Linked DNA regions of Arabidopsis thaliana. The protein of the gene in region 3 purifies or fractionates together with the protein of the main gene of each other region. This does not show direct contact. Each region holds a gene or a part of one and is shown on either strand. Other genes may lie near its edges.

Region 1 (5,934 bases), about 13 Mb from region 3:
AGAAGAAGGTTTGAGCTGGAAATTGAAGATAAGAAACGGATCGACTTGTGTGAGAAATGGATCTCTGGTGAGACTACTGTGGAAACAGAAGAAGTTTCAGTAGCAGTTGCAGAAGCAGAAGCAGAAGCAGAAGCAGAAGCTCCTTTGCCTTCAAATCCAGCTACAGAGGAAGAAGAAAGAGTCAAAGTTGTGGAAGATTCGATTGTTGAAGAAGAACAAGAAGCTTCGAAAATTCTGGATTCGTTTGAGGAAGAAATAGAAGCTACGATCATGAAAAAAATTGAAGACGAAATCAGAAACGCTATAGAAGAAGAGGAGAAACTTGCTGAGATGGAAGAATTAGCGGTTGTGGCGGTGGCTGAGACGGAGGAGGTAGAAGAAAGCAAAGAGGTTGTTCCTGATTGTATACCTCAAAATGAGGAAAGATCCGAACAAGGAAACCGGGAACCCGACCCGAGTCCGGAAGTGGTGATGAGAAGAAGTCTACAAGAGGAAACAACGGAGAAAGAGAAGACGACGGCGACGCCGTATAAGGTGTTACCGGATTGTTTGCTGCTTATGATGTGTGAACCAAAGCTCTCAATGGAAGTCTCTAAGGAGACTTGGGTTTGCAGTACAGATTTCGTCAGATGTTTACCAGGAAGACCTCCGGCGAAGAAGATACCACCAGAAGCCGTCGGAGACAATCATCATCATCATCAACCCAAGAAGCGAATCGTCACAGCCGTTGATTCCAACGCATCCTCTCGCCGGCGGTCAATCGATAGACCACCACTTCACCTACAGCCGCCACGGTCATCGTGTTCATACCCAGCAGCTCCACCGATAATAACGGCAGCTGCGGCGGTTGGGGAACAGAGGGTAGCCGGAGCTAATAAGGTACAGCCACCAGTGCTGCCACGTTGCAAATCGGAACCGAGGAAGTCAGCGTCGAAGCTAGCGCCGGAAGCTTGTTTCTGGAAAAATAGGAAGCTTGAGCCACACCCTCCGGCAACCGTCGGTGTCGGCGGCGCCGGAGTAGGGTTCTAGAAGAAGGAGACGTGAGTGGGAATAAAGGAAACTATTTGGGTGTAATAGTAATTTCAGAATACTATTTGTCCTTGTTTGTAAATTTGTTTTGTTAGTCATAATTCATTTTCTATCACTGTGCCAATGTTTTTTTCATGAAAATCTGTATCCGTTTTTTTTGTCCGTTAGTCTAATGTCTCACTCTCTGGTCGATGAAGTCCCATCGAAACTAACAACAACTAACGCTTCCCAACAAACAGATAGATAGTTACAATAAATTGAAAAGAAGAAAACAATTTTATGCATAGTTGGCTACATGAATATGATATTATTAATACATGTTTCATAGTAAAGACCGGACTAATCAATCACCTGAACTTTGATCCTCATTGCTTTTATTTACTTCACTGTTGTCACCTGATGATGAGTCTCCAGGTTGTGTTGTGGCCTTCATGTTTTCTTCAGCAGAATCTTCATTGAAGGCTAATTGACCAGAGTAAAGGAGAAGTCCGAACGCGTTGAGACCGAAAACAAATGTTGCTAGATAGCATATACCGTTGATGATAGTCCTGCGGATCAAAATGAAGAGTTTAGTCTTAAGAATTTGCGAGAATGGCTTGTGATGAGTACATAGAAAAGTGGTAAAGCTTAAATGTACCTTACGGTTACCGTGATTTGCCTAACCTGCAATAAATAGAAGTACATAAAATTCAGAAACTGTGGAATAGGCAGACTCTTCTTAAAAACAGCAATGATCAAGAGGGCTAGCAAAAGAAGGAATAAACTGGGAATCTTTAGACAGCTTCGTGTTTCGATAAGAATGGAACCTTTGCATAATGAACTTAAGCTAGTTGCACAATGAATTCAGAAATCATGGACAAGAATGGGTCCTCTCCATAATGAATATAGCTATTTCTCAATTATGGGCATTTACAGTTATTGAGACCATGATGATACTTGGAACACAAGGTACTGTTACTTTACCAAAGCAAGTTAGACAGAAACAGCAACTTTGACACAAGCAATGGATGATCAAAAAGAGAGAGAGAAGAAACGAACCGAGAAGTTATCAGAGATAGTCTGACGATTGAGTCCTGATTCAACTGTAACAGTGAATTTGTAAAGAATGAGAGCAATGACTCCTGCGGCTATCGCACCAAGAAACGCCTGAGCCGCCGATGGAGTTGAATTACCACCTTCTATCGGAGTTGAACTTAACGCTTTTAGATTATCCATTGCTTCTTCTTTCAACGATTTCTTAGCTCCAGTAGATCTAAATGTCTACAATTCCACACCAAATCACTCATATTCCTTCCCAAATTTCAAACACAATTCTCCCAAATTCAAGTGTAACAGATCAAAACCATTGGTTAAATTCGATTTAGACCAAATTCGGTGGTTATTTGTTCCTTAAGAATGTCTAGGGTCTAAGTAACGAGATATTACCAGCTCTTTGGCGCGTTTAGCGCGCCGTCGAACGGAGCGGATGAGGAAGACAGTGATGGCACCGGTAAGAAGCACACTGGTGGCCAATTGGAGAGGAGTAGGATCATCGGAAGTGGCGAAAATGGAGTTAGTAGACGAAAACGGAGACGTGGACGACGTAGGAAGCTCAATTGGACCATCTTCTTCCACCTCCGCCACATCGGCGATTTCTTTTACGGCGGATAATCGGATTATACCGGGACGGATCCTGGTAAAGGAAGAGAGCGAATGGATTGGAGAGATAAGACGCGTTGGACGGAGACGGTAAGGGAGAGAGAAGAGACATTGGTGGCTCTGCAACACTAACATTTTCTTAGCCGTCGAAAGATTTTTATCTCACCATTAATGTCTTCTTCAAATATCCTCACTCTAAAGCCTCTCTATCGTTTAGAGGGTCTCTTCTTCGTAGACACTCTCCGCGAATTAGAGGCTTCCCAAGTTACCATTATACTACAGAAATAGTAAGTACCACATTTTATATAGTTTCACTTGATTGTTTATCGCATTCTTCTTCATGTAAAATATTACTTGAGTTCGGTTTCTCCGTCGAATAAAAAAACTCATCATTATGATTGTTATTTTTCCTTATTATTGTAGGTGAAATGATAGATGAATGTTTTTGAACATAAAGGGAACCAAAGAATATGAAATGAGTGTTTGTTTATACGTAGAAGCAATTTGTTTGCTAATGAAAGTGAATGATATCAGCATTCTTGTCGAACATTACTTGCGACGGTTCGAGCCCAAAACTTTATCTGAGCTTTCATGTCTTTTCTCGAATCCTTTGGAACCCAAACCGGAATCGGCTGTCCCACCACCGCTGTAGACCGGTTTTTCCCAGTGGTGGTGCATGGGACCTTCCTCTGTTTTTCTTCGTCTTCTTCTTGCTTCTTCTCTGTTTCAATGTGAAAATCCTTCAACATTTGAATATCTTTCGTCTCGATGCTGCTTAACGTTTTACGCAGCGTTTTGCGGTTTGGGCTTTTTTGTGATTTGACGACCAATTCTTGAATAGCGTCTTCTGATCTTGAGTTTCTAGGTGGTCTATGCCTTGGAATGCATGAAACCTATACAAAGTTTTAAAAACTTTCTGGTCAAATTCAGAGTCTCAACAACAGCAATGATTCAATCAAATCATCCAAGAATTGAAAAGACTAATGTAAACAAAGAGAGATCATCACCTTTGGAATGTTCTGTTTCGTTGGAGTAAATCCAGAAGAAGAAGAAGAAGAAGAGTTAGCGATGGCTTCACGGATCAAAAATCCCATTCTTGAATCATCAATCTCTTGATCTTGAAACTCATTTACATCGTCTTCTCTTCCTAAGTAACTAGGCAAAGTCTGAGTTCTCTGCAAACTCCCTCCCATCGAGCAACTCTGGACACTATTATTGTTACTACAACTAATTCTTGTTCTGTTCTTCTTCCTCGAACCTTCTTTAATTCCCTTCTCTCGAACTACAGGTTCCTTCTTTTGCAAGTAAGTTCTTCGTTCTTGAACCCTAGTCTTCTCAGAGAACTGCCTTCTCATCACCTTATTTATCTTCTCAGGCTCGCCTCCGCCTTCTTTTTTCTCTATACACGGCGGCGGAACAAAGTCTCCCCCAGTAGAAGCTTCTAGAAGCTTAATCTCCGAATCCGAATCTCCAATTTTCGGTAATTCGGGTTTGGGACAAGTTGAAGAAGAAGAAGAAGTAAAAGGGTAAGGATCTGAATGACAGTACCTCAAGATCCTTGATCTTCTGTCAAGTAAGTTATCAAAGAACCAGAAATCTTCGAGGAGATCATCAATGGCTTCGAATTGTTCCAACTCTTGATGATCATTCGAAGTAGAATCCATTTTTTTTTTAATTCAGACAAAAGATAACATAAAGAGATAAGTTTGTGTTCTTGTTTCTTCTTCTTCTTCTTTTGTTCGGTTTTGTATTTGAAGCATAGATTCTGGGGACTTATTAGGAGGTGCCCATGTGGGCAACCATTCAGCACTTATTTTCTAAAAATATTGTTTTTATTGTTTTATGTGGAGTCAATGTTTTTGTACATAAATAAAAGATGAAATTTTTTGAGTGAAAACAAAAAATGGAAATAAATTGACTTATTCCGAATTTGAAAGATTCTTTCTTTTACAATTGTTCTGAATTTTGGAGTCAATAATATTTTAACTTCTAGGGAAAAATATTGGCGCCACAAGTTTTTTAATTTCAGTAATCTTTTTGTATATTTAGGAGATTGCAGAGACGTATTAGCTGAATAGGTTTTGGAAAAGAAAAACCAATAATTAAGTGTTCTAAGTGGATAATTAAAATAAAATTAGATAACAAATCAAAAGGATTTCTGGCAACAACTAAGAAAAATAAGGTTTTTCAACAAAAGTTATGATTGCTAAGAAACGGCATAATAAGCCCTGTCATGACAGTCAACATGCCATGTGATTCTTAAACTTAATATGTAAACAATTCGGTTCTATATCATATAAAATAATACATACAGTTTTTGTTATATATTAATATTATTTCTTATCCATCGCCTCCTACGCGACAGCTAAGAATTATAGTAATCTAATAAATACAAAAGATATTGGTAATATTAAAATACATGTGAATGTAAAAGCATTAAATCTCGAGCTCTGAACCTACATTGTTCTCCAATTATAGTATGACATTGCATATAACATTAATTATGTTCATCAGCCGTAAATCTTTATTAGGTGACATGTGGGATGTGGCTAATCAGTCAATTTAGCTGCGTACCTGATGATTTGTTGACGATGCTGAGAAACGAATGCTAATCACATCACAAATAATCTCACGAGAAAGATATTAGTACGCACTACGCAGCTTGAAGAAACAGGAGTTTGAGCCAAGAAACTGCTGATTTTTTCATATCTGAATTAAAATATTTTACTAGTCTTGTAACTGCAAATCAATGGCAGAGACACCAGCTGATTTGAGTAAAAAGTTTACAGATGAATCAATCAAAAAGGCTTCATCTCAGTTGCAATTAACTCTATGAGAGAACCAAGGCAGAAACTATCATATTTACAATGCAAAGAGCGGTCATCTTCAGTACTCACCGGAACCAATATTCCATCTTTGAAAACGAATACTGGTTCAAGCCAAGTCTTAGGTCTTCGATATGTATTTCCCTCATCTAAGCTCCCTTGCATTTCAGCAGAATGACTGCAACATTCGACAGAGGCAAGAAAATTACCGGATAAGCGTTTGCAAAAACATGCTTCGTTTTCTGGACATTCCTCATGATCTTTGACCTTCGCTTCCTGCATGGTACCATTGTTTTTCACAGAGATGAACTTTCTAACAGCAGAAATAAGCTCCACTGATAATGAAGAAACCGCATCATGTATACCCTCTGTTGTGATGGAACTCCTACCAAGTCTCAATTCGCGAGTAACTAATTTATGCATTGAATCTTGGAGGATGGAG
Region 2 (9,191 bases), on a different chromosome or scaffold from region 3:
ATGGAGATTGAAGAGGAACAAATTCTTTAAATTTACAAACATAAAACCAAAGTTATAACAACAGAATCTGAAAGTCTAGAAGAATAAAACTTTAATATTGATGGAACATAAAAATTCAAACTTTCTGCCTAATAGAGATTGAAAAAGGAACAAAGTCTTTACCTTTGGATAAACCAGTGACACAAATGACAAGAGAAGAGAATGGACCATTGGACTGAGACATTGAAGTAGTAGTAAGAGGAGGAGATTGTAAAACAGGAAACAACTTAGAACAACCCTTTGAATCAATCAAACCAACATTTCTTCTTCTGAGAGCACCCATTGTGATAGTTGATGATAGACAACAAACCAAGCTCCAATCTCTGCTTTTTTATAAATCCTTAATTCAAAATACGGAATCATTGCAGAAAGACTAAAAAAGAATCAAAATCAAAAGGAAATCACTTTCTCAGAGGAAAAAGAAATCGGGGAATGTAAGAAGAAGCATGAAAAGGATTCAAAGGAGAAAAAGATTTTAGGGTTGAGTGATTGTGGACAAAATGGTGCTTTAAGTGATGAATCCTCGGAAAAAGATGGTTACTTTGGTTGTCGGAGCTTTTTCGTGGGGCTAATTTTGGCTTTATCGGCGTGATTCCAAATTTGGGGAATGAGAGACAACTACTCTTTCTATTCAAAACTCTCACACAACGCTTCTTTGCAAGTGACTAGTGAGACTGAGAGATAACTCTTGTGATTCAAAAATAGTTGGGCTTGACCCGACCCGACCCGACTTCTTTTTATTAATTACTTACACCAAAACTCTTGTAATTATAACAAGTCTTGTAATTTTGGCTTTTTAATAAAAGTGGAGTGATAATACAAATTTTAATTTGTAAGCTTCTGTTTTTAGATGGATGGGATCCAGTTAAACATTTCTATTTATTTTTATAATTTTTTGTATTATTATTTATTTTCAGATAATCTTTATTTTTTAACAACTTTAAATTAAACTCAAAAGAACTACTTCGGAGATATGTTGTTTACATATGTAATATAACGTGGTTCTGTAAGAATTTCATATGCTAAATTATTCGCTTTAACATGTGTACAACAAAATATTAACAATAAAATTGAAGCTTAAAATTTTTTCTTTATTCGTTATGAAATTCGTCTCTATGATTTTAATGATATTGGAATATAGTTAACTCAATTTACATTAATTACATTTTGGATATTTGGAAAGGAAAATTCGAGAAATAGACTTACAACAAGTAGATAAAAAGGCTGCCACTTCATAAAGTTGGTCTTTACTAATATTTTGTCATTAAATTCAATATTAGAGTTGTTTTGTGGTTTGATAATCTATCAATTGATTCTATATTCAAAGGCACGGGACTAAGGACATGTGCTTTAGGAATCAACCTTGCGAATCTTTCTTCTCTCCTTTCTTTTTTTCACAAATTCATTCGATTTTTCAATGCTTACTTTCATGTTAGAGGACAAAAGTTGTGGCTTAATAGGGCATCTCTCAACATCCATTTTTCTCCAAGCATGTAAACAAAGACCAATAGAAATGAGTAAAAAAGAGATTCACAAATAATAAAACTTGAAAAAAGCTCAAACCAGAGTTAGAGGTCGTTGGAAACAAAAGAAAATTACAAATGCTGGGCAAAAAAAGGGTTTTTAGTCATGTTTCTTGCTTCCGAACAATTTCTCATACACATCGGATTTGTGCTTGCATGCGAAAGATTTAAAACTCACCACTATTGAGTCGATCTCTTGCTCTTTCTTTTCGTACACGAGAAAAGCAAGGAAGGCAATGGGCAGTCCTGTTGAACAAAAACAGAACAACAAAACCAGTTATTGTTGAAGAACTATAATTCATACAACCGTAGCGTTGGCATGTAGTAAAACTAGATAGAGAGTGAGTGTGTACCTATAACAAATATGCTGTGAAGAGATATGGCTCCAGCCAAACTCAATGCTAACAAAACGAAGACCACCTATGACATTAAAAACACCAAAGCGGTGTTACAATATTATTACCAAAGAGAACTTCAGCAATCGAATTTTGTCCCTATTTCTGTTTCAGGTTGGGATAAGATATCGTACGACTGGAACTTGCCAGCAATAACTAGTTCAAGGAAAAATACCTTGAAAAAGAAGCTCCAATCATTCCCCTGGCAAAGAGATCTTAAAGCTTTTACAGTGGTGTTCCATGAAGAGATCACTGACAATGAGAGGTCATGTGATGAGTCTTTTGAGAGGTGAAATTGCGATGCAGGAATCTTTTCAACTGTATAACCAAATCTGCAAAATAAGCATCTATATTCAGTTGTTCGTAAACTGAAATAGACAGCAATTGCTTATATTACTTGTTCCTGATTGAAGAGTACGATACACAGTGTTTCAAAAATGTTTGGCATATACCTTCTGGTTTCCATTATTAGAGAACTAGGTTAAGGTAGTTCATATTGCACATAAATGAAAATCTATCAAAAGTTGGCATCTCAGGAATCTTACATTTTCTCTGGTAGAATGCCATGGAGGAACAAAAATACAGATGCTACCAATAGAGCCTTCGAAAGAGCAGTTACGACGGTAGACCCAGTTGCAACAAAGTTATAATAGATACTAATTAGAATGAATATGGCAATAAGAGTCTGCTTTAAATCCTTCCAGAGAAGTGTATCAGCAACTGCAAAATCATGTCAGAACAAGTGAATCAAGACCAGGGTAGATTTGAAAATATGTCTAGTTCTACTAACATCCTATGCCTCTTCACATTAATATGGTAGCTAGCCACTGAACACAATCATTCTCAGGAGAGCGTGCAGATGTTGACGCTGACTCAAGATTTTAATAAAAAGAAAAATATCCAGTGAATTTTAAAAATAAACATTGGGTGCTTATCATGTGAGAGACGATCAGCTGAGAGGACAAGCATGCTAATTGAAATATATGGTCATACCCTTTCCGCCTCCAAGAATCCTAGAAGCCTTGGATGGGCCCTCTCTTTTGGATTGACTTCCAGCTGTTAGGTGAGAGAATGAGTCTATCGTCCTCCGTATACCTTCCTGCAGGATCATCAAGGCATGCATGCAATATATAAAGAACAATAAAGGCTTCAAATATCTCTCTCTTTCAAATCAAATATTGTATAACCTGAAGTGGGACCACAGGAGCATAGCCTAGTCGATCCTTTGCTTTCGTGGAATCGAAAGTTCTGCTGCATGAGAGAAGCCTAACTCTTGAAGGTGTTAGTTGTGGTACTGTCATCCCATATGGTCCCAACACTTTATATGTCAGTTCAACCAGATGCGCAATCGGCATCATGATAAACGCAGGGATCTTTATGCTTGGCCTGCAAAATATATTAAAATTAAGAAGAACAGTCAAAGGTATGGGTTAAGTACAATGCATTCCTTCTTAGATAAGTGAAGCCGTCAAAACCAATTTGACAAGGTCAGAAACCTATATCCCAAAGAAAATGGATTACATGAAATCAGAAAACTTGTCAGGCACAAAAATGTAATCAGAAAGTATTGTATATGCCCAATTACTATGAAGTATGCACAATAAAATTGCAAGCAGAAATGTAACCTTATAAAAATGTAAGCAGAACAAAAATACAAAACTGTAAGCAGAAATCATTGTATATACTATATACCCAATTATTTTGAAGGAAACTTAATTATATGCTACTTCCGGATAGAACGTCAAGTCAAGCTCAACTCAATTCCCATGCAAGAACATAAATAAAATGAAACTAAGACGTGTCTTTCCCCTTTTTGTGTATGCAAGATCTTACAAGTATACATGACACTAGTTGCAAACCCAAACAAAAAAAGGGAAAAACATAATACCTCTCGTAACCAAGTCCATCAAGGAGCTGTGACATAAATTCCCAAAATTTAATTGGCTCCATGTTGGTAATGAAATATGCCTGTAAATCCACTAAATGTCAGGTTAGCCTACAACTAGGATTTTCCTACAACATCATAAATAAACTACCATCTCACTGGACGCCTTAACTAAATTTTATTCAAGGGATTTAACTTTATTCAAATACGGCAGTAAACAATGTTATCATCAATAGATAATTTGGCAAACATCTCAAACGGATCTATCTCAGCTAAACACAACAGACAAGAAAAATAATCTCGAACGAAAAAACCAGCAAGCTCTTTGAAGTTCACATAATGTTTGAGTAGACACAGTTTTTATCTCAGTTTTCATGGTATGCCTGAAACGTTTATGCTTTAGGTATGCATTAACAGCTGTACACAAAAATACTGGTTGACCATGACAGCATTTCATTCCAAACATTTACAGCTAGAAAACTATGGAGACCACAAATATAATGATGTGAAACTGAGACCAAACTCCACCTTAGAAAACTACGGCATGGAATCAACTGAAAGCAAATACCTGTCCTGCAGCTTTTGTAGAAACATCTCCTCCTGAAGCTAGAGCACGCTCAGCACAAACATGGGCATGAGCAACATTCTCAACGTAAGTGAAATCATAGAGATTATTCCCATCACCAATAATAAACTGGACAGTAAAGAAGCAGAAAACAGTCGTATCAAAAATAAAAATAATGAAAGATTTTATGTCAAAGAAGAAATCCAAGCAAACAATGCATCTTAACCTATTAAATTCATTTTGGAGAGATCCATGATCATCTAAAGCACCTCTTAACTAGCAGCAAGATAAAAGACTAAATACATTCCTACTAGCAAAGCCATAAATCTTAATTAGGAAGGAATATCGCACCGCGCAACCAGGAACCCTCCCTCAAATCATTTTTCAAGTACTCATATGAATGTTGCTTTCCACATCATTCTTTGTATCTCGTGTTAGGCTACTTTTAAGGCCATTTCATCGATGCCACCAAGCTTAGGTTTCCAAAGAAAATCATACATCCTAATGGTGTCCAGACATATAGAAAGTTCAGTCCTCTACATTTGTAGCTTAAAGCTTCAAATTTAGAAACTTTGCGAAGTCAATACCCCAAATTTTGCGTAAAACAAACATAAATTATTCTCTCTCCGCTCTACTGTCACCAAACGATTTCACAGTTATGGCTTTAATGGTAAAAAAAAATTCTCCATTCCCTGTGAATCAATCTGTGTGTTTCCAAAGAGTTAATCATAACTTCTGAGAAAAACTTCATAGTACAGAACTATCTACCAAATGCACAGCATGGTCATGACTTTCAAACACGTTTAGATAATAATGTCAATAAAGGGCAGCTACCTTCGTGAGAGTAACAAAAGTATCAAGAGAAGAGAGAAGAGGAAAGGTAAAAAAGGTAAAAAGGAAGGCAGACAGCACATAGAGGAGCAAAACGGTAAACAAAGAAAACAATCCAACCTTAGATTTCCCAGCCCTAGCAGCAGCAACAAGCGACGGAACCAATAATCTATCACCGGGACCAAAAATACTGCTTGGACGTATGCAACAAGTGAGTAGTCCATTTCTACCATTAGCCTTCATGATCAACTCTTCTCCTTCAGCTTTAGTTGCTGAATATGAGTCATTGTGCTGAATAGAATGAAGAAAATATTAGTAACCAAACTCCAAAACAAGCAAAGAATCATCTCAAAGCCATAGTTCTGTACAACAATAGAAAGACAAAACATCAAATTCAAAGTTCACACCAAAAGCGTAATTAATACCTTAATTGGGTAAGCCATTGATTCAGTACCGTTCAAAATACCATGAACACCATCAAACACAACACTAGGAGAGCTAGTGTAAATAAGCCTCTTTACTCCAACATCAACACAAGCATCAATCACATTTTGTGTCCCTGTACATTAAAAATCCCATAAACACAAGAACTAACTGAATTCATCAGTTTGACAGAAACGAAATGTGCAAAAATTGAAGTTTCTATTAACCTTGAACATTCACCGAATACTGAAGCTGATGATTGTTAATAGAAGAATCTGGAGCTGCCATATGAAACACCACCTCCGCTCCCTGAAAAGCTAATGGGAACAAGTAATTACAAAGATGCATAGATCTCAAAGTCCACTAAGAATCAATGACTTTGTGATTAAGAACCTTTAACGACTTGAGATTTATCTCGAAGATCAGCGGAGATATATTGAACACGACCAGATCTTAATCCTTCGTCGAGAACTCCGTTCCCTTCCTGAGGATCAAGCATTATCGCCGGAGCTAAATCGGCGATACGGACGCAAAACATTTCGTAGCGTACGAGCATTTCAACAAGATGCCTCGCCGCGAATCCTCTACCGCCGGTAACAACGCACCATCGCTCCGTCTCCGTAGCTGCCGGCGACATGTCTTTTGAATCGAGTAAGCAAAAATGGCGAAATCAGAGAAGCATTTACCTTTGAGAGAAAGAGAGAGCTTGAAAAATCTTTTCAGGAGAAAGAAAACACTGCTTTGGTGTGTAATGTGTGCCTCCCACAACCTTTCTGTTCCAATCTATTTTTATTGTTGGGAAAACAAAACATATTGGGCTTTCGAATTTTTATAAGATTCTGTTTAAGTTTAAACCCATATGATTTGGGATTTTTAATGTGATTTAATCTCAAGGTTTATGTAAATGAAAACTGTTTTAAGATTGGTTTTGGAGGGGTTTGTAACAAAAAGAAATGAAAATTGTTCAAAGTTTTTGTGAAAGTGTGTTTTTGGTCATAATGAAAATGGTTAAGTTGTAACAAGAAGTCGAATAGTAAAAATATTTTTTTTTGTTATAAGTAAAATCTCATTACAATAGTAATATAAAATAAATTAAAAGATTAAAAAAAATAAAAAATATATAAAGTTGCATAAATAATCGCAAATATAGTTTTATGACCATTGTTTCTTCTTCACTCTTCATGATACTCTTTTATCTTTTTATTCTTTAATTTCTTATAGTTTTAACAATTGTTCTTCTCTCTTCAGGTGCCTCCATCCTTCTCCATCTCCAATCCCATCTAATTTCATCAAATCCCTTCCATTTATAACCATGAATGCAAAAAAAATTAGAATAAAAAGCTAGATTATAAGGTAATCTTCGTTTCTAGACGAAGTCACAAAACTTGACGAGATTTGTGTGTCGAAGCATGAACCTCTCTTTCAGAGTTCTTCAATTTCATCATCTTATAACTATCCATCACGTTTTTGTTTTTGTTATGATTGGTAACAAGCGGTTAAATAATAAGAAAATTGTTATGAAAATACTATAACTAAAGTTCTACTTTTTTTGCTAAATAACTAAATCCTATTTAATATTGTCGCTTATGAGAGGTTTTCTTTTGTATCCTTTGTTAATGAAAGAAAGTTCCACATCAAAAATTGGAGGAATTATCAAGTGATATATAGAAGGTTCGGACCACTCCACCTATTGTCAATTGGTTTTAGGTTGGAAGCCCATGTTAAACCCAGTTCTATCATCCTCATCCATTGAATTTTTGTGAATTTATATTTGATATAATAATAAGAAGGGCCACAATTATTTCATATTTTAGCCATCTTTATCTTAGGGTTGACTGTGGTTATGGTATGTAAGTCAACGGGAGTTTAGAACCATGACTCGTTGGATAAGATTGGATAGTTTTTTTATATTTCACTTCTTAAACCGTTTCTTTTTGGTTGTATATATAAGAAAACTACTAGTATTAACTATTAAGTCTGAAATTGTCTTAGAAGATTGGTTCGATAATCTTCTCTTATATCTACAACCTCACGTGATCATTTTCTGTTGCACTATATATAGACTATAGAGTATAGACCCTTCTTCTTGAAACAAAGCTCTTTTTTTTTGTTCAAGTTTCTTTCCTGATATAAGCGCAATGACAGAGTTCTTGAAACAAAGCTTTTTTGTGACAACCAAAAACTAAATCCTTTAATTATTTTTCTTTGCTAAATGAGTATGTATCATATAAGATGAAGATGGTTCGGATTTCCATGTTCATTACCTATGCTTTTGGTTTCTTGGCAAAACCTATAAAAGAAAAAAAGGCAAAGAAGTAAAAACAATATTTAGTCAATCAAATGAAAAATCTTCAGTCATTTATGAACAAATTCAAGCATGCACGTACGTGTTTGGATCTTATTTTGGTAAAGTTTATTCACTGCTTCATTTGTTTTGGACTTCTATTTTTTATTTTTTTATGGCCTACAAAATTCATGGTCCAAAAGGACCTAACCGATCTGAAATTGTTTTTTTTTATTTAAAAACAATACAAAAAAGAGAGAGGGAAATAATAATAATGTGCAATAATGGTATAAGGGGTTGCTTCAACTACTTCCCGTAAAATGCATCAGCCATTTGACTCATTAAAGAAGACAGCCATAAGTTAGATATCATCATAAACATTTCAACATCCATACCTCTCTTGTCAACATTACTAATTTCCCATACGTCTTAGCAACTTCTTTTAACAGCAACTTTTTTTCCTTTTCAAGTTTAACCTAACAATGTTTTGATCACATATCAATACTACATATTTAGAATATATATATGATGTCGTGTTTCGTTTGTGGATTTTGTTTTCTCATGATTTTTAAAATCCCATGTTTACACGATCATAACGTTTCGTCAATTTTAAAACGATAACTCTATAAGTAATAGCGTGTACCTTCATCGTATTTCTTTCGACGTCGTAATTATGATCACCATTCACCATTTTCCTTCTTTTTTCTTTTTAGGGTATATAACGCAACTATATAAAGCACACGTACTTAAAGAAACCCATTTGGGCATGTGTTGTCCTTGCTGTGGATCACATGCATAAGTCTGCTTTTTCTTTTTAATATGAATTGTTTTTGACTTCATATATAGGACCAATTCAAACATTTATATTTAAAGAATATTTTACTCAGTATTATTACTTTCTTTTGTAATGATTTACAATTTTGTGCCACTCGTATGTATAGCGTTTTAAAGAGGTTACTTACCAGTAGTTTTTGTCCAAATTTTATATGTGAAATAACCCTTCTCGGAAGGCTACCACATTTCCATTAAATTATTGGAAAACTTTTACAAAATGTGACAATTCGATCGGAAGGCTACTATCTCATAGGTATTGAGGCAGGATAGTCACTAAGTTAATGATTCTGCATCGGTCACAAACGTGGTGATCGACGTGAAAAGATTGAGCCCTCGCAAAAGTGAGATGGTGCTTTGTCAAACTTTTGCGATAAGTGATCATGATAATTACAAATTAAACTTCATTTTTGCC
Region 3 (5,912 bases):
CTCATTTCACAGCTTCCTCCAGCGAGAGGCGTGTGATAATGAGCTCTCCTCTCTCCACCGATCTTCGTCAGAAGTACAATGTCAGATCCATGCCGATCCGTAAAGACGACGAGGTTCAGATCGTTCGTGGTACTTACAAGGGACGTGAAGGCAAAGTTGTTCAGGTTTACCGTCGCAAATGGGTGATTCACATCGAGAGAATCACGAGGGAGAAGGTGAATGGAACAACCGTGAACGTTGGGATTCAGCCGTCGAAAGTTGTGATAACGAAGCTTCGTCTTGATAAAGATAGGAAATCGCTTTTGGAGAGGAAGGCTAAGGGACGTGCTGCTGCTGATAAGGAGAAGGGTACTAAGTTTACGTCTGAGGATGTTATGCAGAACGTTGATTAAGTAAGAAGGAAGAAGAAATCTTCTTGAAAGGTTTTATCTTTTAGAGTTATCTTCAATCGCTTTTTAATTTTCAAGTTTTGGATATTTTGGAATGTTGTCAGTGGATCTTTATGGTGCTAGACATGAGAACTTATGTTTTGATTTTGAGTATTTGAAGTTTGGTTATGGAAGTTTATCTCTTTGTCTCATTCTTTATAATGATGTGTTTGTTTGGTTTAGCTTTTGATTATGTGTTGGATGTGTGTTGAGATTGGTGTTGAACTCCTGATTTGACATAGGAGTCTTGCGTTTATCAGTCTATTGCAGTAGAATTGATGATATTGGTCATTTATGTGGTGACTTAGTTGAAATGATTCTCTAGAGTAGTGTTCTTGGTTTAGGTTATTTCGTTTGATAGTGGGGGTTCCATTTTTCGACAGTGGTTTTCATTTTTGAACATATTGGAATGACGAGTTTGTGTCTTTAAACGACATATCAATTTATCAGACCAATCCTTTCGTCTCTTCACACTTATCTCTGCAATTTTGTGTTGTCTAAGACGTTTGTGGTATAGGTTGAGTTCGAACTTGGTGGTTTTCAATTGTAATTTTTTGTTTGGCATAAGCATTACTGTGGATTTAAAAGAATTGCCACTCTGATTAACAGCAAATCATTTCATTTCTATGAAACTGATTCTTTCTCATTACCTTAAAAAATAGTCGTTTCCTCGAGAAAAAAGATAGAACTAAAAAAACATATCTCAAATGCAATTATCCGACTGAACAGTTTTCACATTTGATGTACATGTGTAGAAGACCTATCTCTGATTCTTTTCCAACTTGAGTCTTTGATTGATTCTAGTTTCACATAAGGTTTGTTTCTCTTAACAAAACAATAAAAAAAAACTCTCAGAAAAGAGCGATATAACTGTTCCTATTAAGCGTGAGCCCCAAAAGAAACAAATCCGAAAAAGAATTATCAGAAATAAGGAGATTAGCCGAGGGATTCATTATTCAATAACCAACTCAACTCTAAACAATGTCATAGGAGACAGAAAGGGTAGTCTCCATTGTTAAACCTAACTTCCATTGGTATGTGTAGCTCTTCAAGGTTTAAGGGAAAGCGAGAGACCTAACCTTGGGTACTTGTCTAATGTCTTGGTATCAATCTCACCTGAGATTGTCACTATCGATTTTGGAAGGCCCTCGTGTTGCAGAAGAGCTCCAAACTTACCGTTACTGTTCAGCTTAGCTTTCACATTCGTTAAGTGATCAACCGCATACAATCCACCAACAGTTACTGTTGTCTCATTAGTTGAGATTTTCCTGATAACCTCTCCAACTGTTGCGCTTCTCGTCGACTCATCTAGGTAATATACATAAGAGGCTTTGATCGAATCTCCTTTATCTCCCCTGAGATTTTCCAAGAAAAGATTCAGAATATATTAAGAACAGCTCGATAGAACTTTGATTAGTAGGAGCTTCTTTATCTTACAATATTATGGAGACACATTGATCTGGCTTTGTGACACTGACTCCGACGTTGTACTTTGTGAAAGTTCGAGATGTGGTGTCATACCCAGCTTCAGCACCAAATGAGATAGTTGGTGAGCCAAGAGCAGCAGTTACATCAATTAGAGGGTTTTATTGTAAGGCTGCAGCGGCTGTAACTGTTGCGTGATCATGGAAATATTGGACTTCCAGCTGTAAATCATAGTTGAGTTTAAATTCATTTGGCTGAAAAAGTCATTATATGTGTATATATAACTAGCTTAAAGAATTCTGAAATGCATAACCTTGCTAGAGTTGTAATCAGGCACTTTGAAGGAAGCAATGGCTTTTGTCGATGGGAGGATCTCAGTGATGTGATGGTTGTCAGGATCTGATCAAGTGAAAAAAAAAAAGAGGCACAAACTTAGCGTATTGTGATCAATTGAGACAAATTTATTCATTGGATAAACAAGAGACTTAACATTGAAATCAGTATCGATCTTGACATCGAAGAAAGTGTTTCTGTACTTGTATTGTGTGGCAACATTAGCAGCATGTAGTACTCCATTCTTGAGAGCAGTGGAAGTAAGAGCCTACGATAAAATAACAGAACACATAGCGTCAATGGATGCAGAAATTTTAAGCGTTGCCAGGCAAAATAAACAAAGCAACCTATAAGTAGCTCATATTCTCAAGTATCCTTGTGGTTTAAAGCGACAAATGTATATTACCATGATACATGTTATTAGCTAGCAATATCATCTACATTGTTCATCAGCCTGTTATGCTAACTCCAATACAGAGATAATCTTAACAAAGAACACAAGTACATGCCGATTACCCAAGTCACAGAAGATATTGCACAATGCTTAGGCAGTAGAATCCATCAAGAGGAGGTTTTTGCCTCCAAAATCACAGGTATATCAAAATTGACTTTAACTTCACTCAAATGCGTTGTCAATTTCCAATGATTCACTCCCCAGCTAGAGTATAGATCAAATCTATAACCAGCAAGAAGATACTACTCTTGAGGAAATACATGATAGAAGAAGAAGAAGAACCTAAAATAGTACTTGTTAAGCAAAACATTTGCTACAAATTCATCAATGTGAAACAAAATCTACTAGACTGCGAAGAACACATCATATGATTCACAGATTATAAAAAAGCTAGAAACGAGATTAGATACTTACGACGCCGGAGACACTGTTAGTGGAGATACTGAATTTCTGATCGGTACTGTAATCTCTCGTCAACAGATCTAACACAAAAAGGGAAAAACACAAAATTGAGCTTACGAAAACACCAGGATTCATCAATCACACTCTCTCTCGACCTCCAATGATCACATTAATACAACTACATCGAGAAAACTCGAAAGTTGACATCAAAACTAATGGAGATGAAGAAGGAAGGGAAGATTATCATACCTTTCGCATATTTTCCGATGTCGGCGAATAGTCCCGGACCCTTACTCATGGTGATCGGAGAATTTGAGAGAGAGGAAACCAAATAGAGATAGTGACGGCAGTAAAATTGTCCAAGTCAATAATAGTTAAAATCAATGATTAACGGACGTGTAACAACAAAAGGTTTCGTGGTGTAGTTGGTTATCACGTCAGTCTAACACACTGAAGGTCTCCGGTTCGAACCCGGGCGAAGCCATTTCTTCTTTTAATTTTTTTTTTTTACTTTGTAAAAGAACATTACGCTTGGAATGTCAGGAGTCCATTAAGCTTACATTATTTAAATCGATAAGTCTTTAACAACAAACGTGGTTATTTCACTTTGTACTAATTATTCTTGATTATGCGTTATTTCCATTTTCTTTGTGTCTTATGGTTAGTTTTAATGTGGATTTGGAAGTTCTCGATGCAGATTATGAAGCCGTGAAATATTATTTGATGAGATGATTGAATTGTGCCCCCAACAAAAAGATGAGATGATTGAATAAATACTGAAGCATGATTGATGGAATAGTTTGTGTATTCATTAATGATATAAACTATGTTTTTCGAATCTACATAACAACTCGATACTTTGCTCACATGTACGTTGCTCTTTTGAATTTAGGATTTTATATGTTTGGGAATATATTTTCAATATTTTATAAAAGATTGCTAGGCATATGTCAACGTATTTTATGATGCAAGACAAATAAAACTTCAAAGATGAATAACATTGCTCGTTATTATGCTCTATGCTATTATTATTAAAGCAAGCTACAAAGCCCAATAGTACCATTACTAGTCTAAACTCTGAAAGCCTATGTAAGTAGGGTTTTGCAATCAAGATTATGTTTTCATATAAGGATGTGTAATGACTCTTAAGATATATAACCAAGAGAGTTGTTAAAGAGGCAGCTCTCCTTCTTCCCTATTTTATGATTGAATCAAAGTATTACTAATCTTGGTGACAATCTAAAGTCCTTTTTTTTTTTACTTTCTTTGCACAATAAAGCTCTTCATGAGCTATGCAAGTTGTTAGTTTATTTCTATCTTAATAAGCTCATTTGACTTTGAGTTTTAATTTTGTTGTGCAAAGAAAACTTAACTAACTTCTTGTATATAGGACCTAAATTCCTCCATTATTCATATATCATCTCTTAATCTCCTCAGATTTTGTTTTTCTTATAAAAATCTATAATAAATCATGATCTGTATATAAAAACTTGAAGGAAATAAATAAGCAAGTAATGTCAAGTATATAAGACGAAGTTTTTTTAAGCAACTAAACTATGAGATCCTAAACTTGATGGTTGTAAACTAAAATACAAAAGAAAATAAATAAAATTAGTTGCTTATGAAGTGGGTGGTGTCACTCACAACCATGTCGCCTGAGCCTTAAGAAAGTGTCTCGTACCGTCTTTTTTAAGTCTCCACCAAATCGTACCATTTCCACCATACATAACTAACCACGTGTCCCCAACGAAAGAATCTAACCTGCTTCCAACCAATGAAAAATTGACAACTCAGTTATGACCCAACGCCATGAAAAGATTCGCTAACCTGGCCTAACCTTTAAACTAACTCCGAAGATATGGCAACTCAAATCTTCATCAACACCTGTCGCATTTTATGCCTTGTTGTTTTTTTAGTTTCTTGCTTTTAATAGTAAACTAAATTATCCTCTCAATATAATAATAATACATTAATACTATAGACTACACTACAAATGTAAAAGTTCCTTTTACTTTTACAATCATTATTATAACCAAAAAAAAAAGGTCTAATGTAAAATTATGTGTGGATATATGTTTATTTTTGAATAAAGTGTATTGAAATTGACAATTCGGATAATAAATTGTTGCCAATAGAAAAAAAGAGGAAGAAGAAGATATTGAATAAGCTGATCAGCTCATGATTTGGACTGCTACCTATCGACAAAATTAGCACAACTTTGATAAGTACTTTAGTTTTCCATCTTTGTGAATGTGTTACTTTTTTCGGCTTTCCAATAAAGTTTGATGTTAGACTCTAATACATTTATAGTTACATGACTTCCCCCACAACACATAATTTTTAAAATAGGCATTCTTAGATTACGCATTATTGGACAAGGTGCCACTGAAAAGATAGTTTTTCTTTGATTTACTTTATTTTTTTATAATATTTTCACAAATTTATCATTATTGATCATTCAAAATTCATCTCTATTTCATTGATTCTACATCGACTGCATCAAACTCTAATATTCTTTTTTCGTTCATTTTTGATATATTGGAAATTTGGAAAGAATTTAGTTCAATTATATAAATAAATTTATGTTAAAGAAAAATATATAAAAGATGAAAATAGGATGAGATATTAATGGATATGGAGAAATAAGAGAAGAAGCACCACTTGATCACTTAGAGCCCACGTTCCCACTCTTAATCACCCAAAAAAAATTAAAACAAAGACGTGCTCACATCTCATCTCACTCCCTCACCAGCTCACTTCACTCTCTCTTTCTCTTTTTTTTTCTTTTTTTTATAATCATCTCTCTCAATTCTCAATCATCTTCTAATCAAAGATCACCACCATATGGCTCTCGACACTCTCAATTCTCC

Evidence for each region. The genes of interacting proteins can lie anywhere in the genome.
Region 1: the proteins of VDAC5 (region 3) and AT3G15110 fractionate together in Arabidopsis thaliana (co-fractionation; one large-scale study listed by BioGRID). This does not show direct contact.
Region 2: the proteins of VDAC5 (region 3) and 3BETAHSD/D2 fractionate together in Arabidopsis thaliana (co-fractionation; one large-scale study listed by BioGRID). This does not show direct contact.

Annotation. Positions count from the first base shown.
Region 1 is NC_003074.8:5,083,022-5,088,955, forward strand, and holds AT3G15110 (uncharacterized protein), read right to left. Parts: upstream 2,839-5,934; 5' UTR 2,803-2,838; coding exon 2,455-2,802; intron 2,290-2,454; coding exon 2,068-2,289; intron 1,693-2,067; coding exon 1,667-1,692; intron 1,578-1,666; coding exon 1,373-1,577; 3' UTR 1,257-1,372; downstream 1-1,256. Other genes in the region: HCF243 (Serine/Threonine-kinase pakA-like protein), read left to right, coding at 1-1,029; AT3G15111 (uncharacterized protein), read left to right, coding at 2,839-2,955; AT3G15115 (serine/arginine repetitive matrix protein), read right to left, coding at 3,198-3,560, 3,675-4,331; AT3G15120 (P-loop containing nucleoside triphosphate hydrolases superfamily protein), read right to left, coding at 5,466-5,934.
Region 2 is NC_003071.7:11,175,344-11,184,534, reverse strand, and holds 3BETAHSD/D2 (3beta-hydroxysteroid-dehydrogenase/decarboxylase), read right to left. Parts: upstream 6,472-9,191; 5' UTR 6,299-6,471; coding exon 6,055-6,298; intron 5,979-6,054; coding exon 5,889-5,978; intron 5,798-5,888; coding exon 5,664-5,797; intron 5,530-5,663; coding exon 5,359-5,529; intron 4,537-5,358; coding exon 4,411-4,536; intron 3,926-4,410; coding exon 3,846-3,925; intron 3,344-3,845; coding exon 3,145-3,343; intron 3,057-3,144; coding exon 2,951-3,056; intron 2,678-2,950; coding exon 2,503-2,677; intron 2,290-2,502; coding exon 2,133-2,289; intron 1,983-2,132; coding exon 1,916-1,982; intron 1,809-1,915; coding exon 1,663-1,808; 3' UTR 1,257-1,662; downstream 1-1,256. Other genes in the region: AT2G26270 (BRCT domain DNA repair protein), read right to left, coding at 163-322. UniProt on the Arabidopsis thaliana protein: 3beta-hydroxysteroid-dehydrogenase/decarboxylase involved in sterol synthesis. Catalyzes the formation of 3-oxosteroids from 3beta-hydroxysteroids-4alpha-carboxylate.
Region 3 is NC_003074.8:18,504,360-18,510,271, forward strand, and holds VDAC5 (voltage dependent anion channel 5), read right to left. Parts: upstream 3,341-5,912; coding exon 3,292-3,340; intron 3,123-3,291; coding exon 3,055-3,122; intron 2,455-3,054; coding exon 2,286-2,454; coding exon of another isoform or gene 2,257-2,285; exon of another isoform or gene 2,253-2,256; coding exon of another isoform or gene 2,167-2,252; intron 2,075-2,166; coding exon of another isoform or gene 2,005-2,074; exon of another isoform or gene 1,954-2,004; coding exon 1,866-1,953; exon of another isoform or gene 1,798-1,865; intron 1,784-1,797; coding exon 1,477-1,783; downstream 1-1,476. Other genes in the region: AT3G49910 (Translation protein SH3-like family protein), read left to right, coding at 1-392; AT3G49930 (C2H2 and C2HC zinc fingers superfamily protein), read left to right, coding at 5,887-5,912. UniProt on the Arabidopsis thaliana protein: Putative channel that allows diffusion of small hydrophilic molecules through membranes.